Canis lupus familiaris: one gene and its partners. The protein of the gene in region 1 interacts with the protein of each later gene in a biochemical or structural test. Links are inferred from orthologs where the notes say so. Each region holds a gene or a part of one and is shown in the gene's direction. Other genes may lie near its edges. The genes, in order: DLG1, ATP2B4, RALBP1, MTMR1, CRIPT, NET1 and SLC16A3.

Evidence for each region.
Region 2: the proteins of DLG1 (region 1) and ATP2B4 form a complex in vitro, tested with the Homo sapiens proteins (2 studies listed by BioGRID and IntAct, with this or other methods). The link is inferred for Canis lupus familiaris from reciprocal best matches to the Homo sapiens genes DLG1 and ATP2B4.
Region 3: the proteins of DLG1 (region 1) and RALBP1 interact in a test that uses a peptide from one of them, tested with the Homo sapiens proteins (2 studies listed by IntAct, with this or other methods). The link is inferred for Canis lupus familiaris from reciprocal best matches to the Homo sapiens genes DLG1 and RALBP1.
Region 4: the proteins of DLG1 (region 1) and MTMR1 interact in a test that uses a peptide from one of them, tested with the Homo sapiens proteins (2 studies listed by IntAct, with this or other methods). The link is inferred for Canis lupus familiaris from reciprocal best matches to the Homo sapiens genes DLG1 and MTMR1.
Region 5: the proteins of DLG1 (region 1) and CRIPT form a complex in vitro, tested with the Homo sapiens proteins (3 studies listed by BioGRID and IntAct, with this or other methods). The link is inferred for Canis lupus familiaris from reciprocal best matches to the Homo sapiens genes DLG1 and CRIPT.
Region 6: the proteins of DLG1 (region 1) and NET1 form a complex in vitro, tested with the Homo sapiens proteins (3 studies listed by BioGRID and IntAct, with this or other methods). The link is inferred for Canis lupus familiaris from reciprocal best matches to the Homo sapiens genes DLG1 and NET1.
Region 7: the proteins of DLG1 (region 1) and SLC16A3 interact in a test that uses a peptide from one of them, tested with the Homo sapiens proteins (2 studies listed by IntAct, with this or other methods). The link is inferred for Canis lupus familiaris from reciprocal best matches to the Homo sapiens genes DLG1 and SLC16A3.

Annotation. Positions count from the first base shown.
Region 1 is NC_049254.1:30,716,757-30,720,406, reverse strand, and holds the end of DLG1 (disks large homolog 1), read left to right. Parts: intron 1-316; coding exon 317-408; intron 409-1,287; coding exon 1,288-1,394; 3' UTR 1,395-3,121; downstream 3,122-3,650. UniProt on the Homo sapiens protein: Essential multidomain scaffolding protein required for normal development. Recruits channels, receptors and signaling molecules to discrete plasma membrane domains in polarized cells.
Region 2 is NC_049259.1:1,011,915-1,015,157, forward strand, and holds part of ATP2B4 (plasma membrane calcium-transporting ATPase 4), read left to right. Parts: intron 1-965; coding exon 966-1,277; 3' UTR 1,278-3,243. UniProt on the Homo sapiens protein: Calcium/calmodulin-regulated and magnesium-dependent enzyme that catalyzes the hydrolysis of ATP coupled with the transport of calcium out of the cell. By regulating sperm cell calcium homeostasis, may play a role in sperm motility.
Region 3 is NC_049228.1:75,572,807-75,576,617, forward strand, and holds part of RALBP1 (ralA-binding protein 1), read left to right. Parts: intron 1-191; 5' UTR 192-246; coding exon 247-490; intron 491-2,379; coding exon 2,380-2,838; intron 2,839-3,811. UniProt on the Homo sapiens protein: Multifunctional protein that functions as a downstream effector of RALA and RALB. As a GTPase-activating protein/GAP can inactivate CDC42 and RAC1 by stimulating their GTPase activity.
Region 4 is NC_049260.1:120,240,426-120,244,880, forward strand, and holds the start of MTMR1 (myotubularin-related protein 1), read left to right. Parts: upstream 1-1,578; coding exon 1,579-1,739; intron 1,740-2,786; exon of another isoform or gene 2,787-2,897; intron 2,898-4,455. UniProt on the Homo sapiens protein: Lipid phosphatase that specifically dephosphorylates the D-3 position of phosphatidylinositol 3-phosphate, generating phosphatidylinositol. Could also dephosphorylate phosphatidylinositol 3,5-bisphosphate to produce phosphatidylinositol 5-phosphate.
Region 5 is NC_049231.1:49,891,171-49,895,428, forward strand, and holds the start of CRIPT (cysteine-rich PDZ-binding protein), read left to right. Parts: upstream 1-1,257; 5' UTR 1,258-1,367; coding exon 1,368-1,383; intron 1,384-4,258. UniProt on the Homo sapiens protein: As a component of the minor spliceosome, involved in the splicing of U12-type introns in pre-mRNAs. Involved in the cytoskeletal anchoring of DLG4 in excitatory synapses.
Region 6 is NC_049223.1:29,484,419-29,488,229, reverse strand, and holds part of NET1 (neuroepithelial cell-transforming gene 1 protein), read left to right. Parts: intron 1-315; coding exon 316-378; intron 379-648; coding exon 649-745; intron 746-1,124; coding exon 1,125-1,201; intron 1,202-1,869; coding exon 1,870-2,127; intron 2,128-2,559; coding exon 2,560-2,730; intron 2,731-3,811. UniProt on the Homo sapiens protein: Acts as a guanine nucleotide exchange factor (GEF) for RhoA GTPase. May be involved in activation of the SAPK/JNK pathway Stimulates genotoxic stress-induced RHOB activity in breast cancer cells leading to their cell death.
Region 7 is NC_049230.1:935,587-939,397, reverse strand, and holds part of SLC16A3 (monocarboxylate transporter 4), read left to right. Parts: exon of another isoform or gene 1-481; coding exon of another isoform or gene 482-493; intron 494-572; coding exon of another isoform or gene 573-1,604; exon of another isoform or gene 1,605-1,927; 5' UTR 1,928-1,952; coding exon 1,953-2,175; exon of another isoform or gene 2,176-2,539; coding exon 2,540-2,683; exon of another isoform or gene 2,684-2,962; coding exon 2,963-3,721; exon of another isoform or gene 3,722-3,811. Other genes in the region: uncharacterized protein LOC119876620, read right to left, coding at 482-493, 573-1,604. UniProt on the Homo sapiens protein: Proton-dependent transporter of monocarboxylates such as L-lactate and pyruvate. Plays a predominant role in L-lactate efflux from highly glycolytic cells.

The DNA of each region.
Region 1 (3,650 bases):
GCAGGCGCTAAACCGCTGCGCCACCCAGGGATCCCCTCTAAGCTATATCTTAATATGAAATTTTCATCAAAGTAAAAAATACCAAATTAATGCTTAGTTTTTTAGCTGCTTTGAGCCAATGCAGAAAATGTGTTGAAACTCTCTGTCATTCCAAGCTTAAAGCTATATACTTGGTGACTGAATCTAATTTTTAATGACATATTGTCAGCAGAGCTCAACTTTTCATGATTTTATGTTTTATGTGTCTCTTCTCCTTTGTCATCTTCTTTCCAAAAAGTATTATATTAATTGCTAATTTCTAAATTTATTTGTGTAGGGAAATGAATAAGCGTCTAACAGAAGAACAAGCCAGAAAGACGTTTGAGAGAGCCATGAAACTGGAACAAGAATTTACTGAACATTTCACAGGTTGGCATCATGTGTGTCAGTGCCCTGACAGGATTTTGATTTGAAGCCATATGAACTGACGCATTGAAATGCACTTTGAACGTATGACCACATCTACCAGTAATTAATTACTATGTAATTAATACTATGGTTTTCAGAATAATTCATCTAACCTAGCCAGTGATGATGAGGAATCTTAAAAGTTAGTGTTTCTTAAGTGGTTGATTAAGACCTACTAGACTGGAGAAAAATAGAATCAGACTTGCTTTCTCCTGTGAAACTGACTTTTTCCTTATGCTTTATACATTTTGATCTGTTTTAAGATATTTGTTTAAAAAGAAACAAGTGGGTAGCAATGCCCAGTGAATGAATCTCTCATTCATTTTGTCCTTTAAATTATTTTTCAGGTGTTCACACTAAGTACGTCAAATGCCATGGTGTTATAAACCATGTGCTTTTTTTTCTTTTCTTTTCTTTTTTTTTTTTTTAATAATTGAGACTTCTAGAACCTTCAAAGAATAGTGCCAGCAATTCTCATATACTTATCACCCATATTTTCAAAATGTTAACATTTTGCCACGCTTAATTTTTTTCTGAAACATTTAAAGTGGCAGGCAGATGCCCATTTGCCCCTAGGTACTTTAGTGTGTAACCTCCCAAATATATAATACTAAGTAAAAATCACCAAATCTCACTTTTTAATCAATATTTAAAATAAAAATTCTTGTGGTTTTCAAATAAGAAAATTAATGAAATGAGTGGTTATTACTAAGCAAACAATATGTAAGCAGTCTCCTGCTAGATGAGTAACTAGTTCTAAGACTTAGCTTCTACTCCACCAGTAGTTGTCATGGTAAAGATAGACAGCGGAGGTTTCTAATTTTGTTTCTGTTATTACAGCTATTGTACAGGGAGATACGCTGGAAGACATTTATAACCAAGTGAAGCAGATCATAGAAGAACAATCTGGTCCTTACATCTGGGTTCCAGCAAAAGAAAAGTTATGAGGACTGATGTTTCTGTTTCTCTTTTCCACAATCTCATTTTCTCTGACACTTCTTTGCCCTTTCCTTTTGGAGTCTGTCTGCAATACTCCTTCCATGTTGAATCGTATCCCACTCATCATGATCTACAGTTGTGCTTAGTTTTGACAACTAGCGTCTCCTTCAAGTTGTAGCATCTGTATTATTTTATGTCACTATTGGTTTGTGGCCATTTTTCAGAACTGAAGATGGAATGGCCTGACCAGCTATTAAGGATTTGGGGAGACTGGGAAATTGTGGTAAAATTCCTTAATGTTTAAGGGAAAGTAACTTTAAGAGATTTTTCAGAAAAGCTTTATATACATTCTTTTCAAATTTCAGTATAAATGAAAGAAAAGTGGTGTTAATCAGTGATTTAGTAAACTTTGAGCAACAGTGCACGCTTAACTTTAATAGCATGGTTTGGCCAATATATTAACTTTCAAGTCCTTTTCTCAATTGACTTGTGTTATCAAAGCAAATATTTCATTATAGACAAATAAGGAAAATGTTCTTTAATTTCAAAGTTAATTTCTGCATTAACTTTCATAATTTCACAAGGGATACTCATTTTTCATAAGAGTTCTTCATGTCTTACTGTTTGAGGGGTTTTTTTCTCAGTACATTTGCTAGGAATAGCAGTGTTATAAATGTTTTTAATCTACTTGTGCAGGACTATTTATAGTGTCTTACAAAAGTTCATACATAATGATCACATTTTCTGAATTGAGGCCATGTTTAGGTGCTAGGGGAGCTCACCTTTTACACACAAGGTTGAGAAAATTTCATAGACATAAATACAGAGAGAGAACAGACATTACAGTGGTGATGTAGTAATCATTATGGCAGTGGAAAAGGAGTCCAATTCATAGTCTAAAACTTTAAATGTATTCTTAGGGATCAGATTTTAATGAATATTTTACCCACAGTAACTGCCTATTTTGTTATAATAAAATATATATATATATAAATATATATAAAACTTTCTTTAACTAAACTCTGTAACTATGGGAATTATTTTCTTTACATAGTTGCACACACACACAAACATATATATATATTTAAAATATATTTTTTTCTTTTGCCACCTACTCTTAACTTTTTGTTTGGTTTTTAAATTAAATATTAATTGATTAGACTTTATCTTCCTTAATCATGTGAACTGAAAATGGGGGTATGGTGGTTGTGGAAAGAAACCTCTAGGGAAATTAGATTACATACAGAAGTATAGGCGTGTTCTCCTCTTTTCTACAAAAATTTTCAAATGGTTCCTGGTTTTGTTTGGGGTTTTTTTTATTACTGTTGTTCTTGTCATTGGATTTGGATTTGGTCTTCTGCCTCTCTTTCCATTTCTCCTTTCACTAATAGGCAAATAAGCAAAAGCCTCATGTGTGTTTGTTTTCCCCTCAGACTGCACGCCTTTCACCTCTTGTAGCTGCTCTGTCCTAGAGTTGCACAGATCTTCATGGTGAGGAATTTTAAGAAATTTTCGTGAAAGGTAGATACGATTTCAGAAATCATCTTCTCTGGTCTTTTAATAATATTGTTTGGCTTCCCTTTGCTTTTTTGGAATTGTTGATTAAATATGTGTTTTTGACAACCTCCTCATTAGAGTTTCTTAAATGAGTACTGGTTTGTAAAGGATTATCAACATTATCCATTCCATTTATGAAAAAGAGGAGAACAGCTAATAAACTTTATTGTAAAATCCATATGTTAAATGTGTCTTGAATTCTGAGAGAAGATACTATTTTACAAGCTAACGCTTTTTTGAAACATCTTGGAGCATCACGGGCCATTGGGGAACATAATCAAATTTTCTTCTGTAGGGTTTGGAATTGAGTATGTTAACACATTGAAATACATACTATGGCTATAACAATAACTATAGTAGGTTGTTACCAAACATAAAACAACGAGAAGAATATTATTATGAAATGATCTCTAGAGTCCCAGATCACTCTACAGCAAGGCCCCAGCATAAGCCATTTTGAAGTACTTAACTGGGGATCCCTGGGTGGCGCAGCGGTTTGGCGCCTGCCTTTGGCCCAGGGCGCGATCCTGGAGACCCGGGATCGAATCCCACATCGGGCTCCTGGTGCATGGAGCCTGCTTCTCCCTCTGCCTGTGTCTCTGCCTCTCTCTCTCTCTCTGTGACTATCATAAATAAATAAAAATTAAAAAAAAAAATGAAGTACTTAACTGGTTACATGTTCTAAAATAACAGGTGATTCCATTTAT
Region 2 (3,243 bases), on another chromosome or scaffold:
CTTGTCTGGAGCACAGCCTCCGAGTGGGTGGTTTCTCTCCTGGTCCCAGCCCTTCCCTTCCCCACATAAGATCATGCTCTCTTCACAATTAGAAATAGCTGGAGAAAGCTGCAAGACCAGGCACAGGTGCCATGCACCAAAGACATGGACATGCATTTGAACTCTGAGAGCCAGCTCTTCTCTCCAAAGTTAGGATGAAGGCATCTTCTGATACCCGTGTTTCAGCCCCATCTGCCAGGGGAGGGGCAGAAGGGTGGAGTTTTGCTTTCTTTGAAGGAAGGGAACATGGCAGAGGTCGTGGGATAGAAATATCTACGTGTTTCCTGACTGAAAGAGCAATTATTAAACTGGAGAGTATAAGAGTTTTAATTTCTTGCATGCTGCTGACACAAATGACAAGTGTTTTGTCTGCCTTGCTGCACGGTATCCATGGCCACTTATCACTCAAAAGTATATTATGTACAAATGGGTATGCGTTTGGCTCTTTACGGGTTTGAAACAGATAACTAAACTTCAATGTGTAATTTTTCCATTCCACGTTCACAAAATGTTTGGCCTCGACACAGAAAGCCACATGTCTGAATCATCTTTTAAGTTCGGCTATTAATTTGCACCTGGTTCCAATGTCCTTGCCCTCCATCCAAAAGAACTAATGAACCCTTGTTTTCTGTTTCATTTTAAGAATGGTTTGGGAATGCTAACTTTGCTTTGGGTTTTCTACTTTTTTTTTAATGCAGCTTTGAAATATTCAGTTGTTTGCCATTACTCACCCCACGCCACCCATGCTTGAAATCTGGTGTTTCTAGCGTTCCATAATCTCTTCTTATGTGTTTGGTTTGGGTTGTTGAGCAGTAGTATTTCATAGTTGGGGTTTTGTTTCTCTCCTCAAACTGCCAGTTCTTTGTTCTACTGGCCAATTCCCACCTTCATGTTTTCTCATCCTCCTTTTCCTTCCCCTGGTATAGATCAAAGTGGTGAAAGCGTTCCATAGTTCCCTCCATGAAAGCATTCAGAAACCCAAGAACCAAAACTCCATCCACAACTTCATGACCCACCCTGAATTCGCCATAGATGAGGAGGTGCCACGAACACCACTCCTGGATGAGCATGAGGAGGAAAATCTTGAAGTTCCTAAGGCTGGGACTAGGGTGCTCCTGTTGGATGGTGAGGTCACTCCGTATGCCAACAAAAACAACAATGCGGTGGACTGCAGCCAAGTGCAAATCATTGCCTCCCACTCAGACAGCCCTCTACACAGCCTGGAGACATCCGTTTGAACTTCATTCTCTGACTCCCATCCCCACTCTCCCCGTGTCCTTTTTCATCTGCCCCATCTATAAGGTAACGATGGGACTTTTCACTGTCATGTCAGCTGCTCCCAAGTATGTGTGAACCCCCACCTGACCATGAAGAGGCAAGAGCACAGACCTACGAGGATTTCGACTTAAACTTGAGTTGGGGTTTGTAGCAGGACCCAGTCAAACCCCAGGCAGGTAATGAATGGTAGGATCTACTCCTTGGGTGTATCAGTTGTCATTTTTAAAGAAATGATGACAGTCCTCTTGGCATCTACCCCAACCCAGACTCTCCCCAGTATACATACGTATGTCGGCATCTCCTGACTTCTGGATTTTACCCTATGAGTCTGTGCCATGTTTAAGCTAAATAGAGGATTCCAAGAGACGAATGTTCCCAAATGAAATATGTTGAGGTAGGAATGGAATGTATAGAATCAGCCTCTAGAGTGATTGTTTTTTAAATGACTTTCCCATTTTCAAAACTTACACCTAGAGCCCTCTGGCTCTTTCTGCCCTTCTAGTCAAATCTCCCTAAGATTCTTTGGTCTTTTACGACCACTGTCTTCCCTACCTTCACTCTTTCTTTTTCTTTTTCTTTTTCTTTTTTCTTTCTTAAGTGGTGATGATTAAGAAAGTGGAAAGGACATGGCTGAATTGAATCAACTTTGGCCATTCTCCCGTCTGGCCCTAATGGAACCCTTGGTTTAGTCCTAGAGGCAGATAGATTTCTTTGCTACTGGGATCCTCTTGAAGCAATTGAGAGCTGGTAAGAATGTGTTTCTGTTGTTGCCAGGTTACCCTCCACTTCTGAACTGCCATCTTGTCAGGTGTGTGTCCTTTCTAAGTGCCAGGGAGGTCAGCCTTGACTGTGAAGCTTGCATATGTTCGCTATATAGTTTTTACCATAAGCCTGAGCTTTCTCCTATTCCTAAAGTGGTGGCAAAAGAATGGATCGAGAATGGCCCTGCCTCCCAACTGGACTTGGATACTGAGGACCAGCAGCTGGCAGGTCTAGGACAAGACATACCATCAGAGCCAACTCTTATGCGATTCTCCCTAGGTTGACCACTACTGCTTTCAAAGCCTTCCTCCACCAAGGCTTTTCTAGGACAGGACCTGATTGTTGGGGGAGTGAGTACTGAGAAGCCTTGGGGAAGGCCAAAGGGCCATAACAGCAGGTTCTGAGAAACCAGACACCTTGAGCCTAGGTGCCCAAGTACCAGCTTTGATGTACTCCTCAGCTTTCTCATTCTGCTCTCTCATGGCCCCTAACTCGTCCTGTCTCTAAACACACCCCAACCCTTCTTGGATATTCTGCTTTTGAAAATATGCATCCCATGTGGACTCCACTGACATTTTGCTGACTTAAAGGAGCAAAATACCCACCCTGAAAAGTTCTCCTTCCTCTCTTCCCTTCTTCCACATGTCCCACTCAAGGTCCTCCCCCGAATGTGGTTGACTGCTGCCCAGTCAAGCCCTGTGCCTTCTTTCCCTGAACACTGCCCAAAGCAGCCCCTTCCCACCTGCCTCTCAGGAGTTGGGGACTTCACTAGGAGATTTTTTTTAAGTGTTCCTTGATGGGACAAGGTGGAGCCACATTTGCAGGAGCTCCATGTTTATGCCCTGCTGATGTTGACATAAGCTCTTCTGTGCAGGGTGAGTTAGCTCATGTCTACCAATTCCCGTGAAAAAAACGAAGCCTGTCTCCCTCTTTCAAGAGAGATGGGGGTGGGGCTCCAGGCTCTTATGAACTGCCAAATTTCCACTTGTGAGAGTAAGGTGGCCTAAAGCTCTCTGCTCTCTGGCCTTCTCTTCTGGACCCCTCCTCCCTCACCCCTTCCACCTGAGCTGTCCGAGGTAGGAAGAGCAAAGGAACAATACCCCCCACGTATCCCCATCACTACACAATCTGCCACATTTGACTTGGGTTTTATAAAGGTCACGT
Region 3 (3,811 bases), on another chromosome or scaffold:
TCTTTGAAAGCTCTGAAAACTGAAATGTGTGATGAGTATAACTTGAGATGATAAAATGAATATTTTTAAAGAGGGGTCATGAAGAAAAATATTTTTGATTTGTAAATGCAAGAGTACTCACTATGTTTTGTGTGTGGGGAGGTGCTTTTGTATTTTGACTGGTGTTGATGACCTTTTTTTCCTATGTGCAGGTGTAATGGATAGGTAACAGAGAAACCCTCTTCACTGTCTCATCAGGGAGGCAGAATGACTGAGTGCTTCCTGCCCCCCACCAGCAGCCCCAGTGAACACCGCAGGGTGGAGCATGGCAGTGGTCTTACCCGAACCCCCAGCTCTGAGGAGATCAGCCCTACTAAGTTTCCTGGATTGTACCGCACCGGCGAGCCCTCGCCTCCCCATGACAGCCTCCATGAACCTCCTGACATAGTATCTGATGATGAGAAAGACCATGGGAAGAAAAAAGGAAAATTTAAGAAAAAAGAAAAAAGGAGTAAGTGCCATTTTTATATGTGCTTTTGATATATTTCAGATAAACTTTTACTCAAATTACATGCACCTGCTATTTTCTGAGACAATGTTCAAAGACTCTTGTTTGACATTGTCTGTTCTTTTCTGGATCTCAATTTTTGTTTAGTAGAGCTGTATTTTAGGGTCTTACTCTTGCAAATAAAAATACCAAATTTCCAGAAATGGTAAAGTTTTATGATGAAAGTTTCTTATATTGATTATTTTAAATAATGCATAAAAAGTAGATACTGGAGTTTCACCCTTATATAGAATATTACTTTCTTGGCTAGGTTGTGTAAGCCAGTTGCAGTACTATACTTTATTGGAACTGTAAAAAAAAAAAAGTAGTTATTTGTTTGTCTTAAGCAAATGCTATAATGCATTCTATTTATAGTTCCTATTCAGTAGGAAAGATGAATTTTTTTAAATTAAATTTAATTTATTTTATTTATATATTTTTTATTTTTTAATTTGGAAAGATGAATTTTTTAAGCATAGCACCTTAGTATGTTAAAAGCAGATCAGGTGAGTTATTTTAAGTATTGCTTTATTTGGAGTTTTATGGTATTTTTAAGTTAATTTGTTTTTTGAAGCATAGCACTAAGAATGCACAAATTGTATATAACTTGAATGAGTTATTACAAAAAGGGTGTATGTCCTTAAATTATAAGCCTCTGGGAATAGAGCATTATCAGCAGCTTAGAAATTCCTTTCCATTATCCCTTCAAAGGGAATCTTCCACCCTTCCCAAAGGTAAACTGCTTTCAATATAGCTTGAAACTCCCTGATTTTGAATTTATCTAACTGATACCAGATTTCCTTTTGCATCTAGTTTCTTTTGCCCAAAGTTGTATTCATTAGATTCATCCATGTTATTCTATGTGGCAGTAATGTGTTCATTTTTATTGCTGGATTTTGTTTCATTTCATTAATATACTAGAATTTTTTGCTATTCTTGGTCTTTTGGGTTGTTTTTCATTTTTGACTGTTATGAATAGGGCTTCTGTGAGTGTCATTGTAGGTGTTTATACATATTTCTGTTGTGTATATGCCTGGATGTGGAATTGCTGTATTATAGGCCATACTCATCTTAGCATTAGTCTCATAGATCCTGCAAAAACAATTTTCCAGAGTGGTTTACACTCACACCAGCAGTGTCTGAGAACCGCATTTGTTTTAGATCATGGTATAATGCCCTTAAGGTTTCTGCCCTTCTGGTTAGTGTGGAGTTTGTGGTATTTTAAATGGAAGGTAATTTGTGAAATATTTTTAATCTTTGTTATGAAATAGCTTGCAAGGTAGCTGGCTAAAGAAAAGAATAGGAGAATTATATTTTGAGATAACAGAAGCAAGCTAGGATAGCTCTAATATGATATAAAACAAGTGTCGGTATGTGTACACCAAGGCTCATGATGCATAAGTGGGCCGGTGCATTTGGCCACCATCCAGAGATTCGGAAATTTCCTGGTTCTGTCTTCCACCCAAATGAAGCTTCAGTCCCTGCTGCAGTTTCCAGAAAGAACGCTCTATATTATAGGACTCTTACTTAGCCCTCTCTCTGTAGATCCTTTGTTGTGTATTCATAGTATTTGGTTTGCCAAACTTCCACCTAAAACCAGTTGTGATGGTAACTGGCACTCTGCATTTCCCCTCTTGTGGCCAGGAGATGTCACTGCCACATCTCATTTTACCTGAGAAGAAACCTGTTCCTTTACTGGGAGTACCCAGGAGGGATTGACCATGAAGTGAAAATGAAAAGCAAGGTAGCCAGTGCCAGGTAGCGCTGTTTTTTTGGTCCTGTTTTTAGAGAGTTTAGGCATGGTTTGACATTTAACAGATCTATGACTTCTGTTTCCTGTGTTTCTTTGGCAGCTGAAGGCTATGCTGCCTTTCAGGAAGACAGCTCTGGAGATGAAGCTGAAAGTCCTTCCAAAATGAAGAGGTCCAAGGGAATTCATGTTTTCAAGAAGCCCAGCTTTTCTAAAAAGAAAGAGAAGGATTTTAAAATTAAAGAGAAACCCAAAGAGGAAAAACATAAAGAAGAAAAGCACAAAGAAGAGAAACATAAAGAGAAGAAGTCAAAAGACTTGACAGCAGCTGATGTTGTTAAACAGTGGAAGGAGAAGAAGAAAAAGAAGAAGCCAATCCAGGAGCCAGAGGTGCCTCAGATTGATGTTCCGAACCTCAAACCCATCTTTGGAGTCCCTTTGACTGATGCAGCTGAGAGGACCATGCTGTACGATGGCATTCGGCTGCCAGCGGTTTTCCGTGAGTGTGTAGATTACGTGGAGAAGTATGGCATGAAGTGTGAAGGCATCTACAGAGTTTCAGGTATTGAGGACATGTGCTTCTCTTGGGGGTTTTAAGAAATTCACCTTCATTTTTTAAAGAAAGGAAAATGATTAGCTTGTGAGGAAAATTGTAGCATGGGTCCTGAGCCTTATTCATTTCCTTGATCCTTGCAGTTGAACAAAAATCCCTCACTGCACGCGTGCGTGCGTGTGTGTATGTGTTTGTGTGTGTTTTGATAGTTTGCTTTTTTCTGATGATACTACCTTCCATTAGGAGGCTTTATGCATGAGTCTTTCATAGTTTGCAGCCGCCCGGCTGAGTATAAGCAAAGCATAGGAGTAGTGTTCCTTCGCTCTGGTGTGCTCAGACTGTGCTGTATTCTTCTCACCTCTTTCCTCTCTGAGCAGAGCTCTGTGTTGTGAAGGAGAGGAGATATCTGGGTAAAGGACGCTTCAGAGACACTTTTATTAGCATAATCGTATTTCCTGAGTTAAGCTGAGGGACATGAAATGTTCTTTGTTAAATGTTTAGGCCCAAATGTGAATGCTTTTGTCAGCCATGTGCAGCTATTACATAGATTAATGAAATTGATTTTCCATTTATTTATGTTCCCTTTGTGTGAAAATTTAAATTTCATATTTGGCAAGAATATCTCATGTGGGTGTCTAGAATCAAGCAAAATGTAAAAGGAAAAAGATTTTATTTCTTGCAAAGTAGTAGGACTTTTTTATTGTGTAGTATGGAAGTCTTGCCCTGTGCAACATCTGTGTTCCAAATCATTACTTTCCTTTATTTTTTTTTTTTTTTTTTTTTTTTTTAAAGATTTTATTTATTTATTCATAGACACAGAGAGAGAGAGAGAGAGGCTGAGACACAGGCAGAGGGAGAAGCAGGCTCCATGCAGGGAGCCCGATGTGGGACTCGATCCCGGGTCTCCAGGATCACACCCCAGGCTGCAGGCGGCGCCAAACCGCTGCGCCACCAGGGCTGCCCCATTACTTTCCTTTAATTC
Region 4 (4,455 bases), on another chromosome or scaffold:
CCGTGTCTGGGCTCCAATGGCCCCTAGGTGACCTTGTCTCTCACCTTGTCCAATTTTATGCTGCAGCCACAGGACATCTCAGGGTTCACGTACACAGAATAAGCTGTGTAAGCAACTGCACACCTGTGCCCATGACCATTCTTCATGCCTGCAATGACTCTTGGACTCAGGTCTGCGTGCCATCCTCTAGGAAGCCCTCCTCAGCCCTATCCTCCCACAGCCCCGCAGGCTTGCCCCCACCGCAGCCCTCACCAGCAGGGCCCCGTTGAAGGATCTGGTACTGAAACTATGTTTAAAATCTTGTCATTTTGTTTCTGACAAATCTCAGGGCAGCAAGGCTGCTTGCATTACAGTTCTGGAGGCTGGCAGGTCCGAGGCTGAGGCTGGTTCCTGGGAGAGGCCTCTTCCTGGCTCGCCCACAGCGGTCTCTCCTGGGCCTTCACACAGCCTTTGCTCAGTGCTTGCTCAGGGAGAGGGTGACGCCAAGCTCTCCGGGGTGTCTTCGTGCAAGAGCAGTAATATCACCATGCCAGGGCCCCATCTTTGTATCTAATCACCTCCCAAGGTGTCATGTCCACATGCCATCGAGGGAGGGTTGGGTGCCCTGCAGTTGCTGGGGCTTCAACTTACGAATGGGGGATGTGCGTGTGTGGACAGAAACAGTCTAACCGTGGATCAAACACCTGATGTGATAATTTTGGAAAAGCCGAGCCTGTGGGAGCTACACGGGGGTCTCGAGATCTTCGGGCGCTTCCTGCCACCCTCCCCGCCCTGTCACCCTTTCAGCCGAGGCCCAGCCCTCTGGGGTGCAGGATGGCTGCGGGGCTCCAGGCATCGCGTCCTCACCCTCGAGGTTCATTTCGAAGTGGCTGAGGCGGGAAGGCCAGACGGGCCCGGGGCGGGAGCGGGCATGTCCCCGGTACAGGTGTGCTTGTTATCAGGGTCGCCGCCCCTGCCGCCGCGACCCGGGAAACCCGGGGCAATCACAGCAAACGGCTGAGTCACGGTCGCCCTCCCGTCCGCAAACCAAGTCAGGGGCGAGCTGACAGGGGCTGAGCCTAGGTCGCCAGATGTTGGTGGATCTGCCGGGCAACGCAAGGTGACTGTCACTGCTAATACGAAGCGGGGGCGGAAGTTCCGAGGGCGGCGGCGGGGGGGCGCGGTGGCCCCGCAGATGGCGGGGAGGTGGGCTCGGGGGAGGGGCGGAGGGCGTGGGGAGCGCTCGCCGGGCTGCCCTCCCGTCAGAGCTTCCCCGGACGCCGAGCGGAGGGAAGGCCGTCGTGTCCCGGCTCGCCGTGTCGCCGAGCGGCCCGCGGCCCCCGGGGCGTCCCCGCCAGCCGGCTCGGGGGCGCGCGGCCGGGCCCAGGTGGGGCTCCGCGGGCGGGGGCGCGGCCAGCCCCGCGCGCCGCTCCCCGCCCCCGGCCCCGCGCGCGGCCTTGTGGGTAGCGCGGGGCCGCCAGGTGACAGCTAATGGCGGCGGCCGCCTGAGCCGGCGGGCGGCGCGGCGCGGCGGCGGGCCCTTCCGGGCGCCGCTCCCCTCTCGCTGCGGCTCGCCCGCGGCGGCGGGCCCGGCGCGCCATGGACAGGCCGGCGGCGGCGGCGGCGGCGGCGGCGGCGGCGGCGGGCAGCGAGGGCGGCGGGGGCCCGGGCCCCGGGCCGGCGGGCGGCAGGAGGCCCCCTCGAGGCGCCGGAGGCCCCGCCGTCGGCTCCCGGCAGCCCAGCGTGGAGACCCTGGACAGGTAAGCGGGCCCCGGCCGCCGCGGCCTCCGCGCCCCCGCCCCCCCCCCCCCCGGGCCCCGCGCGCCGCGGTGGCCGTGCACCCCCTCCCCGCCGCTCCCTGCCCTGCCGGGCCCCCCTTCCTGGCCCGGACCCGGGGCCCTGCCCCCGCCCCCCGGGGCGCGCACCTGGCCCACTTCCGCCTTGCCGGCCGGGGCTCCCGGCACCCCTAGGGGCTCCGCAGCTGTCAAATCTTCTCGGCGCTTCTGCCCGCCGCACCTTGCCACGCGCCCCGCTGGCCTTACCGGGGCCGCGGCGCCTGTGGGGAGAAACTTGAACCCGGGGCTCAGCTCTTTCAGCGTGGCCTTCCCTCTCGGGGGTTGGAAGACCACAATCCCGCCGCCCCCCGGGACTGCTGGGGGCGGCGGGGGGGGCGGGGGGCTTTGCCTTTGGGGTTGGGAGTGGAGGACTGGAGGACGCAACCCCGTGGGTGTTGGAGCTGCTGCGGATGGAGGCAAAGTTACCCCGATTTGAAAGGATGGAAAACTTCCAAACTGCTCCTGATGCAGGAACACACAATCGTTTATTTCAGTCTTTCACACTTTGAAGGAAGCCGGTTCATTGTTTTCCTGAACACAGAAGCCTACTACTGCTTCCTAGGCAGAGCCGCTCTATGTCAGAAGTAGAGACCGACCGGGTCCAACTGGGAGGGCCACCCTAAGGCTCCAAGGATGAGCAGTGGATTGATTTTCCCGTGGCCCGGAATATCCAGTTTTCCCACATCTTGGCCACTTCGTTGACAGGAGAGGTCACTTAGGCAACAGTGTCGTAAGGCAGCTTGGTCAGTTTCAGATGCTCATTCTTGCCGGTGTTAGTCATAGCAGAGAGCTGAACTTTTGGGAGTTTCCCAAAGTGTAGCAACAACAAGAAACACTCCCTTTGTTCCTACCTCACTGTAATTACAGAGTATTCCACATTAATCCCCCAAGCAATCAGGGTCACTGAGAACTATAGTACTTGGAGCAGTCAGGATGCCCTCATTTGCAGAATTTCCCCAGTGTTTGAGGGCTTGGAGAGTCACAGAATAGTACAAGGTGGCTTTTGCTCTCAGGCTTACCTTCTCAGGAAGAATACAAACAAACCAGCAATTTAAATCGAATCTGCTGACTGCTAGGGTGAAGGTAAACAAGTACTCTGGACGGGGTATGTGTGGGAGTCATCTGAAAAGCTTTTTAAGAACTCCAGGTGACCAGGCCCAGTTCCTGAGCCTTCTGATTCAGGAGGTTTGGGGTGAGGGCCAGAATGTAGCATTTTTCAAAAAGCCTCAGCAGACTCCTTTTCGATTCATTGCACTGTGGGCACACAGAGGTGGGGTGCTTGATTTATTTTCAGTGGAAGGGGGTTGAGGATTATGGGCGGTTAAGGGAAGGAGACCTGCTGAGGAAGCTGACATTTGAGTTGAAGGGCCAGGAATGAGAAGTTAGCCAGGGGACAGGGCGGGGAGGACTTTCTGGCCACGGCAGTGGAATGTGCAGTCACGCAGGCGATGCTAGATGTGGGAACTGGTAGGACACAAAATGTGTGGGAAGGCAGAGGCCAGATCTTGAAGGGGCTTGAGTGCTTTCCTAGGGACTTGTGCCTTTATCTTCTGTGCCGTGCTTCTCAGGGCATGGTTGTGTGTGACCTGCATGGGAATCCCCTCCGGCGCAAGGTCCACATGCAGGTTCTTGGGTCCCACCCTAAGTCTGGTCTGTCCAACTCAGGGCCATGGCCTGGAGTTCTGCACTTTCAACGATCACCCACAGCTGCAAGTAAGTTGGGCCAGGGAGTCTCTTTTGCCCAGGATGGTGCCGGTTTACTAGCTGGGCAGGCACGGTTATTAATAGCGCCCTCCTTCAATAGTGTCTTGGTTTGGATGGGAGATGATATGGTCACCCTAGCTTTGGGGACCACAAAAGGATTTCCATCAGGTGAACTTGATGGGATGGGTTTGATGTTTGAGAACATTTGTTCTGCAGGGGTGTGGTGAATGGACTGGAGGCGAGGAGTCTTATTGAATAGGTTATGGAAAAGCAAATCACTCGTTCATTTGTATAGGACTGCCGCCTCTGTGTCAGGCACCGTGTGGGGCCTGTAGATTTGGCGGGGAACGAACACACACAGATCACTGCCCTTGGGGAGAGTATGTTTGGTTTGTTTTGGATGGACAAAAACCAAGTAAACTGCATCCTCTGTTAGACAGTGACAGGTGCTAGGGGAGAAATTAAGTTGGGAGGGGAATACGAGGTGTTGGGGGCCTGCAGTTTGGGGGGTGAATTGGAGTTTTACGGAGGATGGTCAGGGAAAGTCTGACTGAGAAAGGTGACATTTGAGTACTGCCCCTAAAGAAGGGAGGGGTCCAGTCATACAGATATTGAGGGCGACAGCATTCCGGCAGAGGCCTGTGCACCCTGGATAGGGGTGGACCAAGTGTGCAAGGATCAGCAAGGAGACCAGTGTGACTAGAGGGGAGGGAGCTAGGAGAGAGGTCACAGGGGCAGATTGAGTCATGGGGAGCTACTGGGGCTTTTGGAGCAGAGGACTGCCATACCCTGGTGTAGATTTCAGTAAACCTGTCGTTGCTGTGTGGACAACAGACGGAAAAGGGGAAGGGATTGAAGCAGAGAGACTAGCGGGTAAGAGACTATTGCAGTCATCCAAGTAAGAGAGGATGCTGACCTAGATAGCTGGAGGAGAGGA
Region 5 (4,258 bases), on another chromosome or scaffold:
ATATATGTTTATTTATAAATTACCTAACGCAGAGCTTATACATAGTACTGGCTAATATCAAAGTAACAGTCCACATGTTACCCATGTTACACTGTGGTTGAATATTCCAGAAAAACAAAAGGGCAAGTCAAGGCCTTATCTTTACAGCTCTGATCTAGTTCACATTATAATTTTCCAAGGCAAATATTCTACTGATAAGGAAACAGGCTAAGGCACGTTGGGAGACATGTCCAAGGTCCCAAGCTCCCAAGCACTATAGCCACGTCAAACCCTCGCCTCTTTGACATAAATCTACACTCCAGGGGCCGAGAAGGGGATGAAGAGCAAGAAGGGAGGAAGGAAACCTCTCTGGCAGATCCGCTGACCAAGGGGCAGGGGCGCAGGATCCGGAATACACCGTCTGAGCGGACTATCCCTTCGGGTATGTTTCTGGGCCGCTCTCAGAATCCCAAGTGATATGGGCAGATGAGGCTCTAATACACGGAGCAGCACCCAACTGCTTACTGAATGAATGAACGAACGAACGAGGAGAAGAGGGTGGGCCAAAGGTCTGCCCCCCCGCGAAAGCAGCCGCGGGGGTGGGCCCTGGCGAGCACACCCCGGCGGCCAGCGCCCGCGCCCCCGCCCCCGCCCCCGCGGTCGGACCCGGCCCGCGCCCACCGCCCCGGAGGCTGCGGAGCTTACCCGCGCAACCCGCGGCACCTGCCCCTGCAGCCCCCCGCCAACCTCGGCCGCTCGGGACTCTGCCCGAGCCTCACCCCGCGCCAGTGTGAACGGGGGCGGGGCCGCGCTGAGAGGCATAAGCAAAAGGGCACGGGCGCGGAGACCGAGACGAACGGAGGGCGCCACACACAGGGACGGATCCGAGGGCCGGGTCCATCGGGGCTGCCCCCGGGTCACGCCGGAAGGGTGGCCCTCGGGCGGGCGGCGGGCGCCAGCGGGCCGGGGGCACAGACGCTCGCGGCCACGTGGGCAGTGGGTGGGGGCCGCTGGCACCCCGGGAGGCTCGCGTGCCGGGCGGGCGCCGCTGGGCTTACCTAACTCTCCCGCCAGCGGAAGAGGAGCGCGAGCTACCACCTCCCACCATCAGGTACGACTCGCCGCCCTGGCCAACGCGCAGGCGCAAGCCTGTGGGGCGGAGACCCAAGGCGGCACAGCCAATTGCAGGAGCGGAGGGGCGGGCAATGGGAGAAGCCCCGCCTCCCACGGCCTCTCAGGTGTGGGGTGGGCGGGGCGGTGGGCGGGGCGGAGGGCGGGGCGGCCGGAAGCGGATTTTCGTAACCCGGAAGGGGACGTCTGCCCCGGCTGTTGTGTTGACATTCTCGAGCTGCTGCTGTTTCTGCGGCCGGGGGAACCGTCGGGGAAGGATGGTGTGCGAAAAATGTGAGTTAAGGGGCTGACTCTTTGGGAGGAGGCCAGGAGAAGCTAGCAGGAGTTCTCCGGGGACTTCGCCTTTTCTTTGTCTTTTCTTTCGGCCACAAGTCTCTGATTCCAGCCTTTGTCCTTTATCCCTTTCACCGTTCCCATTGGTTTTGCATTCGGAGTGTTCTCAGTTTTGTACTGATTTGTCTATTTCCTTTGCCTCCCCCAGCCCCACCCCGGGATTTCATCCCATACAGCTCTTGACTGGCTCCTTAGCCTCACAGACCCTCAGCATTGGAATGGATCTTAAAAGTCATTTTTACAACACCCAGAGTTTCCAGATATAGCAGACATTTTAAAAATGAATACTTTTTTTAGAAGTATATCCCATGCGATATTTGAGACTTGTCTTTGCTCGCAGCTTCTTAGTACTGAAAGTGCTTTGGGCTTACCTTTAGGACATGACAATACTAAAACACCATTCATTGTTTATTTGAAATTTAAATTGAACAGGGCATCCTGTATTTTAACGAGCAACCCGAAGTTAGCATCCTTAAATGTTGACTTAAATGTTCTTTGCATGAATATCTGAGGTCTTGAGGCAGGGTTCAGAAAGCCTCACTACCTTCAAAACAGTCTGCGTAGATGCCACTGGCTTTTAGAAAGTTCCTTCTTGGGCAGCCCGGGTGGCCCAGCGGTTTAGTGTCACCTTCAGCCCGGGGCGTGACCTGGGGTCCCACATCGGGCTCCCCGCATGGAGTCTGCTTCTCCCTCTGCCTGTGTCTCTACGGCTCTCTCTGTGTGTCTCTCATGAATAAATAAATAAAATCTGAAAAGAAAAGAAAAAAAGAAGAAAGAAAGAAAGAAAGAAAGAAAGAAGAAAAGAAAAGATCCTTCATCCCTACAGTTGCCAGGCAGTGATTCTAATGCAAACCCTTGATGTTTCTGGAAAGTATCTTAGGATTTCTTTGATGTCACAGACTGTCTATATGTTTTAAAACGGCTCTCATATCCCTAAGTCTCTTTTTCCTCAGGCTAGACTTTTCTTAACAAGATTTCAAGTCCTCTTATCTGGATTAACATTAACTTGATCAATTCTGTTTATATTCTCCCCTCCCCCCCAGTAGATAAACCTTTAAACACAGGCACCCATGAGTTTGAATCACAGGTTTTACATTATGTAAAGGAATAACCATGGTGAATTACCTAATATTTCTTGGCTCCAGTTTTCTCCTCTGAAAAATGAGAATAATACATAATTTATGGGGTTTTGTGAGAATTAGATAATGCAGGTAAAGCCTGATATAAAAGTGCCTTAGTGTATACTCAAAAACTGGTTATTCCTATCATAACTCCCAGTATGTGGCACTCAGCATTAAACTCTGCTCCATTTTATGAGGAGTAGAGTGGGACTGATATTTTCATTTTTCTATGCTTTACATCATCATCTCACATGAAGCTTTTAAAAAATTATTGCAGTTCTACCAATTGGCATAGGTAGAAGTCACCCATTTAAAATGTGCCATTCTGTTATTTTTAGCGTATTCACAGGGTTGTGCGACCATCACCACAATCAATTTTAGAATATTTTCATTGCTCCAAAAAGTACATTAAGCTGTTTGACATTGACGTCCTTTTAACTCTACTCCATCCAATACTTATGAGGTTTTTTGGTTTTGCTTGTTTGAGTAACTATGTCTTACATATATTTAGGTTATGCACCTTCTCCATGTCTTTTCTCTTATGTAGGGTAGTTCCTAAACATGTAAATTAGCCTTCTTTGTAATTTGTGTTAATTCGGTACATTTTAACTTTAGAGGCCTGGCATTCTGACGGGCTTAACTTGTTTTGTGTGATGTTCTTTACACCATAAGTGCTTTTTTCCCAGGAAAATTGAGGATACTGGGCAAATTCTGAGAGGTAATTTCCTAAGGCACATAAAAATTTTGAGAAGCCAAGATCGGATGTGATGTTAAAATACACATAGTTTGGCTCTGGGACGTGATATATGTCATAAAGGTCATTTGCTTTTTACTTCTCTGCACTTCTGAAAGTCTGTATTATTTCTTTGCTCTAGTACCTTTCTACCTTCTGTACCATCTTATTCCCCAAATAAAAATAGACTCTTAATTCAAAGACCTTTCTTTCAGTCCCTTTCTGCTTCTCTGTGACTTTGAAACTTGATCTAGATTCTCTTTGAATTTACTTCTCTTCTTCTTTACCATTATAATCTCCAAGTTTTCTTATTCTCCCTCTCCCTTAAAGTAGATATTTCCCAGTGATCGACATCTGCCCTTCTTTTGACTCTTTGTTTTGGAAATATCTGGCTTCAAGTAGTTTATCCATGCCAGTGAATGTCTAATCCACATCTCCAGCCGACTTCTCTCTATACCAAGACCAATAGAAGAAATTTCTCCAGACAATACTGGGACCCTTCATCTGGTTGTTACATAGTAGTATAGTACTTCCAAGACTGAATTTGTCATCCTACTTTATAAATCTGTAACTTCTCTTCCATCATTTAATGGCATGGCAGTCCTCCCAGTCACCCATTCATAAAGCCTTATTCATCGCTCATTCGTTCTGGTATCCCTTTGTCAACCTGCATCCAAACACTTGCCTGTCCTGCTATTGTTACTTCCATTCAATAGCTCATATTTTCCCTAGCCTCTCATTTACCCCTTAAATAACCTACCTGAGGTCCCCATCACTCTTGAGTTAAACTAATGTGATCCCCTCCCAGCTCCTTTCTCTTCAAACTGTGCTCTCTCTGCTTTTGCCTCTTCTCTCCTTAAACTGTCCTGCATGCATGTGAAGGCCACTGGGGAAAACTCATAAATGAACCAATTGGTACCACTAAAAGTGTACAATTCCTATTCTCCAAGATCTTTAATAC
Region 6 (3,811 bases), on another chromosome or scaffold:
CAAACTAATACCTAAGCAAAATCAGCTTGCAGTTTTCTATCTGAGTGGTAATTCATAACACATGCTGAGCAGGAACATTTTGTGATGGGTGGTAGTCATCAAAGTTAACTCTGATGGACCAAAGTTATAAAACATATGGCAACCTCTTGAGATTCCATTCTGAGTTAGAGTTTTCAGACTGTATCATTTTAAAAAGCACTCTGCAAAACATCAGCTAAATAATTAATGACAAATATCAATTGTATATAATTTTCCTTTCTCAAAGGAAGGAATGACCTGTAATGTTTGCTGGATTTTTTTTTTTCCTTTTTTTAGGCAATATATGAAATGTCCCGAGGTGAACAGGATTTAATTGAGGATCTCAAGCTTGCAAGAAAGGTCAGTAAATAACTTCTTATCACTTGCTCTAGTTTTAAAAAATTATATTTCACAAATTTTAAACTTTTTATATGACTTGAAAATCTCTTCAAATATGAGTATCAATAAGAGACTTTGAGTATTAACATATAGTTTGGTTTCTTTTATGTGTAACATATAGAATCCACACTAGCTTTTATATAGTTAGTCATGTTTGCGTTCAAGGAAGGTGTCTCATCATGTTTTATTTGCTTGATCTCTTTGGGTGACATATTTTTCCCCCTCTGACAGGCCTACCATGACCCTATGTTAAAGTTGTCTATAATGTCAGAAGAGGAACTCACCCATATATTTGGTGATTTGGACGCTTATATACCTCTCCATGAAGGTGAGATATATGATATTTAATTTCTATTAGTGTCTGAACAGCATTAACACAAAGTTTTTTTTTTTTTAATTTGTGGGGGAGGGTATTTTTTGTTTGTTTTTTAGAGCAAGCAAGGTGGGGTAGAAGGAAGGGAGAGAGAGAGAGAAAGAGAGAGAGACAATTTCAAGCAGGCTCCATGCCCAGCACAGAGCTCGAGGTGGGGCTTGATCTCACAGCCCTGAGATCATGACTGGAGTTGAAATCAAGAGTCAGATGCTCAACCAACTGAGCCACCCAGACACTCCAACACAAGTTCTTTTGAATCTAAACTTCTAATTTAGTGCTGAATTACTTTTTAAGATAAATTTGTTATTGGTATTTCTGCCTTTTTACATTTCAGATTTGTTGGCAAGAATAGGAGAAGCAACCAAACCTGGTGGAACAGTGGAACAAATTGGTCACATTCTTGTGAACTGGGTATGTAGTGAGCTCCTTACACCAGCTCCTTTTTCAGTCTATGCCATACTTGTCATTTGTGGTGAATAGCAGATCTAGTAAATGAATTCTAAAAACAGAGAAACAAGGCATTAAGACAGAACAAAATTATATAGCTGTAAGAAGTTACAGTGTTTACTTAAGAAAATACTTCACGAATGATACAGTTGTATTTGTTTTAAAAATCTCTTTCTCTTGGGACAGAATTCCCACATTGCCTGTTTTGTTCCTTCAGTTAACATTTCGGTCCCTCCTAGATGCTAGGTGCTGTTCCAGGAGGGCTCACTGGGGGTTCAGTAGTGGAAGGTGTCTACATTTATAATCCAGTGAGAAAGGGTGGGTAGTCAAGTACATATGCGATCTTAAGGTTGGTGATGACTGTGGTAGAGAAACACTCAGGTGCCCTGGAAATATAGAAGACTACCATCTAAACTGAGGCTGGGAGAAAGTAGAAGCCATGGGTCTTGGGTTAGATGTAGTCAAAATTACAAAAGGACATTCTGATGTTGGCTCAGATACTACCTTACCCCCATCATCATCTGCAGGGAAACTTTTGCAGCTTATTAAAATTTTCAAGAATTAGCTGCAAGTTTTGTTTTTGTTTTCACAAAAACATGTATCCTACTGTGTTTTCTCTTCGTATTCTTTAGTTGCCAGGCTTGAATGCCTACAAAGGCTACTGTAGTAACCAGCTGGCAGCCAAAGCTCTTCTTGATCAAAAGAAACAGGATCCACGCGTCCAGGACTTCCTCCAACGATGTCTTGAATCTCCCTTCAGTCGAAAACTAGATCTTTGGAGCTTTCTAGATATTCCTCGAAGTCGCCTGGTCAAATACCCTCTACTGTTGAAAGAAATTCTTAGACACACTCCAAAAGACCACCCTGATGTTCAGCCTTTGGAGGAAGCTGTAAGTCTAGTAAATGATTCTTAGATTTTTCAAGTTTATATATTAGCTTGCCTTAGAAATATACACAGTGGTACTCTCAAATCTTATGCGTATTGCAACATAGCAAAATGCTCTGTTCATTACCCAGTACACTTGTGTACTAAGCAGTAAAGAGACGTAATGCGTGTTATATTTATATTTTAATCAGAAGACTAGATTGTAATATCTGACCTCTTCCACCAGCTAGCTGTGTGGCTTTGGGCAAGTCACCCAATTTGGCTGTGGCTGTCTTTTCATCTGTAAATTGAAGAGACTGACTGAATTATCTGATTTCTAGAGAGAGTCCTTTCAAGCTTTAAAATCCTATCACTTTAATATAATGTTTTAGCCCTGTAAGGAAACCATAAAGCTAATATGCTGAAAATGCTTCATTGATTTCTTGATAACTTTTAGATACTGATAATACAAGGAGTTCTCTCTGATATCAACTTGAAGAAAGGTGAATCAGAATGCCAATATTACATTGACAAACTGGAGTATCTAGACGAAAAGCAGAAGGATCCTAGAATTGAAGCAAGCAAAGTACTGCTCTGCCATGGGGAGCTGAAGAATAAAAATGGACATGTGAGTGTATATTTTTTCTCACCAATATGAAATGAGCTATTACTTTCACCTTTCCCCCTTGTTTAATTTTTTCTGCATAAGTTATGAAGCAAGTTTTAAAATAAAATCATCACAGTGAGAAAATTACTAGTTTTTACTTTACATTATTAGCTTTGATGAAGCAAACTTTGGTTTCTGTTGTGACAGAATGACTCAAAGGTCTTGGTTGGAGAACAGTTTGTATATTTTAGTTTAGTTTTTTTTTTTTTTTTCAAAGATTTTATTTATTATCACCAATTCATGAGAGACACAGAGAGAGAGGCAGAGACACAGGCAGAGGCAGAGAGAGAGACAGACAGAAGCACAGGCAGAGGGAGAAATAGGCTCCATGCAGGGAGCCCCTGTGGGACTCAATCCCAGGTCTTCAGAATCAGGTCCAGGGCTGAAGGCGGCAGTAAACCACTGAGCCACCTGGGCTGCCCTATATTTTAGTTTTGAAGCATAAATCAACTTTTTTGGCTAGGGGTTCCTTTCAAAATAAATTAATAGTTTCCTAATTTAAAAAACATGTCTTTCAATTTTTTTTTCAAAGAGTTTATAGTGATAGAAGTAACTTGTAGCACTACTAAACAAATTTCTACAACAGTTTGAATGAAAGCAAACTTATTTTTTAAATATTAATTATACAGGCACCTGGGTGGCTCAGTGGTTGAGTGTCTGCCTTCGGCTCAGGGTGTGATCCCGAGATGGAGTCCCTCATAGGGCTCCTGGCATGGAGCCTGCTTCTCCCTCTGCCTCTCTCTCTCTCTCTCTCTCTGTCTTTCATGAATAAATAAGTAAAATCTTTAAAAATGAATGTTTATTATAAAAGTATTTGCTAGAACTAAATAAATGTAAGCATGGATTTTTTTTTTTTTTTTTAAGATTTATCTATTTATTTGAGAAAGAGACAGAATGCACCTGTTCAAGGGAGGTGCAGAGGCAGAGAGAGAGAGAGAATCTCAAGCAGGTTCCATGCCCAACATGGAGCCCGATGTGGGGCTTGATCTCAGGACCCTGAGATCATGACCTGAGACAAAACCAGGAGTCAGACGCTTAACCA
Region 7 (3,811 bases), on another chromosome or scaffold:
TTTCTGGGTTTTTTATTAAGTTTCCCCGCTGTGTGTACCTTGGGGACCTCTGAAGCTTGGCGCTAGTGAGGTGAAGGGATACCGTGGCTTGCTGTACCCACCTAGTGTGTTTTGGGGGCGGGATTCAGCCCCATGTAGTGTCCCGTCCCAGCCTCGGGCACGTGGCTGGTGTGAGGGGGCACCTGGAGGAGAGGACCCAGGGGTGAGGCCAGACGATCCCGGCACAGTCCTGTCCCAGGTTCCAGGGATGCCAGGGGGGCCAGGGGGGGCCAAAGGGCATGGGGTAGGGAGCCTTGGGGGGGGCGCTCTCTTGGGTTCCCCGGGGGCAGGGGTGCAGGGGGGCTGGTGCCGTGTGCTGCTCCACTGGGCTGTGTCAGCCTCATCACCGGCCTGGCAGCCAGCAGGCTCCTGGGGACCCCGGCCTCAGACGGCGCTCCTCCTTAGCAGCAGCCGCTTGGGATCACCCGGAGAGTCTTCAAAATCACTCCCCTGCCTGGACACAACACCCCTTGAATCGGAGTCCAGGTGCCCCCCAGGCAGCCAAGTCAGGGTCCCCAGAGGGCAGGGCTCACATGCAACCTCGATGCTGGGAGGGGGTCATTCCCCCCCACGCTGACCCTGTGCTCGCTCCAAAGTCCTGTCCAGGTTCCAGCTACGCCCCGACTCGGCCCGACATACGCAAACGCGCCACCCAGGGGCTCCGCAAGGTCAAGGTCGAGGAGGAGGACTGTGTCTGAAAGGGGACAGGGTGGAGGCAGGCCTGACACGGGGGCTGTGAGGGACCTGGCAGGGGCGCTCCTGGGCATCAGTGTGGGCCAGCGCTCCCCATGGGGGCTTGTTTCTCTCAGAAGGGATCCTTGGCAGCAGCCCAGGGGCTGCCCCCCTCCCCGCCCACACAGAGAACAGCCTCTGTCCCATGAGGTGGGGAGAACCAGACCACCAGCTGGATCTGTGGGGTGAGGGGCTTCTGTGTGAGGATGAGGAGTTGAGGGGCGAAGACGGGAGGGGAAGGTCTTGGGCTGGACATCCGGTCCCAGCATTCCAAGCTGCTGGGCCTCAACAGGGCTAAGTTGGGGGTTTGGGAGGGAAGTGGGCCCAGGGCCGCTGTAGGGTCTCGGGCCGACAGTGGGCACGGCTGCCTTAGCAGCCCGGAGGCGGAGAGGGCTGCTCCAGTGGGCGGCATGGAAGCGGCGGCGCTGCCCACCTATCCCTTCACTCAGCCCTCCTGCCCACCCGGGGTCTCCCCTTCCTTGAGCAGCAGAGACCACCCCCAGCTCTCGTGGGAGCTCGGCCTGAGGATAAGTGGGTGGGAGGAGCCAGCACTGGCACGGCGAGGGGCAAGAGGGCACAGAGGCCTCCTCTGCGGCACGGACTGTCCACTTCCCAGCCTGCCAGCCCGCACAGCCAAGCCTGGGAGAGCGCCACCCCCCCCGCCCCATCCTCAGGCTGTCACTCGGGGTGCGGTGTGACCACGGGAGCCCTGTTCCTTGGGGGTGGGCGAGCACGGCTGGACACGTCAAGCTGAGGTCTGGAGGGACACCACCCCAGGCCCCGTCATAGGACCTGCTCGCAGGGGGTGGGAAGTACAGGCTGCTCCCCAACATGGGGTCAGCGGGGAGGAGGCTGGGCTGGGCTGACGTCCCCACTGGGGTCTGTCCTCCTCAGGAGGTAACCTGAGACCTTGCTGAGCCCAAAAAAGCCACTGCCCTTTAGAGCCAGCTGGGTGTGAGCAGGCCAGGCCTGAGCGGGAAGCAGGGAGGAAGGGCTGCAGCTGCTGGTCCGCCCAGACCCTCCACCCCGGGCCCAGGTGAGGGGCGCAGGTGAGGGCCGGGGGCGGGGCTCTCAGGTGGGGGGGCAGTGGGGGCCCTGCTGTGGCCCCGCGGTGGCCAAGGCCACACTATTGAGTCAGCCTGACTTCCTTCCTCAGGGACGCACGACCCGCCCTCCTGGCCATGGGTGGTGCCGTGGTCGATGAGGGCCCCACGGGCATCAGGGCCCCTGACGGCGGCTGGGGCTGGGCCGTCCTCTTCGGCTGCTTCGTCATCACGGGCTTCTCCTACGCCTTCCCCAAGGCGGTCAGCGTCTTCTTCAAGGAACTCATGCGTGAGTTTGGTATCGGCTACAGTGACACGGCTTGGATCTCTTCCATCCTGCTGGCCATGTTGTATGGGACAGGTAAGGGGTGGTCACGTCCGGTGGTCACCTCGGGAGGTCACCAAGTGCGGTTCTGGTTAGGAGCTCCAGGAAGGCCTGGGGGTGGGGGGCTGGCAGGAGCATCGGGTACCTGCAGCCCCTGTTCCGGGGGGCCTGGAGTGCAGCCCTGGAGCGGCCGTGGCTCCCCATCGGGCCAAACCGGGCACAGGCCACGTGCATCTAGGACATTCCACTGTGAACCATGCTGTGCTCGGGCAGGCCTCTAAGTGTGACTTGCACCCTGAGCGCCTGGTGTGTCTGCTGAGCTGGGCTGGGGGCCAGGTCCCTGGGTGAGTGCGGAGAGGCTGGCCCTGCCCTGTACCCTGACCCCCACTCCTCCCCATAGGCCCACTCTGCAGTGTGTGCGTGAACCGCTTTGGCTGCCGGCCTGTCATGCTCATGGGTGGCCTCTTGGCGTCCCTGGGCATGGTGGCCGCGTCCTTCTGCAGAAGCATCATCCAGCTCTACCTCACCACAGGGGTCATCACCGGTGAGTGGGGCCCAGCCGGGAGCGGGGCAGACCATGGCTGGCCCCTCAGGCGTACTGGGGCAATGTGCCCGGGCAGGGCCTCTGAGGAGCAGGTGGCCGTGGGCTGTCCCTCGCGCCGGTCTGTCCCTTGTTCCTCATCTGACAGGGGCTTTGGACACACACCGGGCCCCCCATAGGGACACCTGGAGACCCCCACGTAGAACCGTTTAGGGAAGAAAACGGGACAGGGACGAGGGGCTGGGGGCTGGCCGACGCCTCACCCGCCCGCCCCTCCCGCAGGCTTGGGCTTGGCACTCAACTTCCAGCCGTCACTCATCATGCTCAACCGCTACTTTAACAAGAGGCGCCCCGTGGCCAACGGGCTGGCGGCCGCGGGCAGCCCTGTGTTCCTGTGTGCCTTGTCCCCACTGGGGCAGCTGCTGCAGGACCACTATGGCTGGCGGGGCGGCTTCCTCATCTTGGGGGGCCTTCTGCTCAACTGCTGCGTGTGCGCCGCGCTCATGAGGCCCTTGGAGGCGCCGGTGCCCGGGTCGGGGCCCGTGCCCCAGCGGCCGTCCCGGCGGCTGCTGGACCTGAGCGTCTTCAGGGACCGTGGCTTCCTCATCTACGCAGTGGCCGCCTCCATCATGGTGCTGGGGCTCTTTGTGCCTCCCGTGTTTGTGGTGAGCTACGCCAAGGACCTGGGTGTGCCCGACACGCAGGCTGCCTTCCTGCTCACCGTGCTGGGCTTCATCGACATCTTCGCCCGGCCCACTGCTGGCTTCATCACGGGCCTTAAAAAGGTGCGGCCCTACTCTGTCTACCTCTTCAGCTTCTCCATGTTCTTCAATGGCTTCACGGACCTCACTGGGTCCACAGCCAGCGACTACGGAGGCCTGGTGGTCTTCTGCATCTTCTTCGGCATCTCCTACGGCATGGTGGGGGCCCTGCAGTTTGAGGTACTCATGGCGATCGTGGGCACCCAGAAGTTCTCGAGTGCCATCGGCCTTGTGCTGCTGCTGGAGGCCATCGCCGTGCTCATTGGGCCGCCATCGGGAGGTGAGTAGGGGGAGGGCAGCAGGCAGCGAGCCTTCTTGGGGAGGGGGGCCCACCTTGGGAGGGCCCAGCTCACAGTCAGCAGGTGTCAGG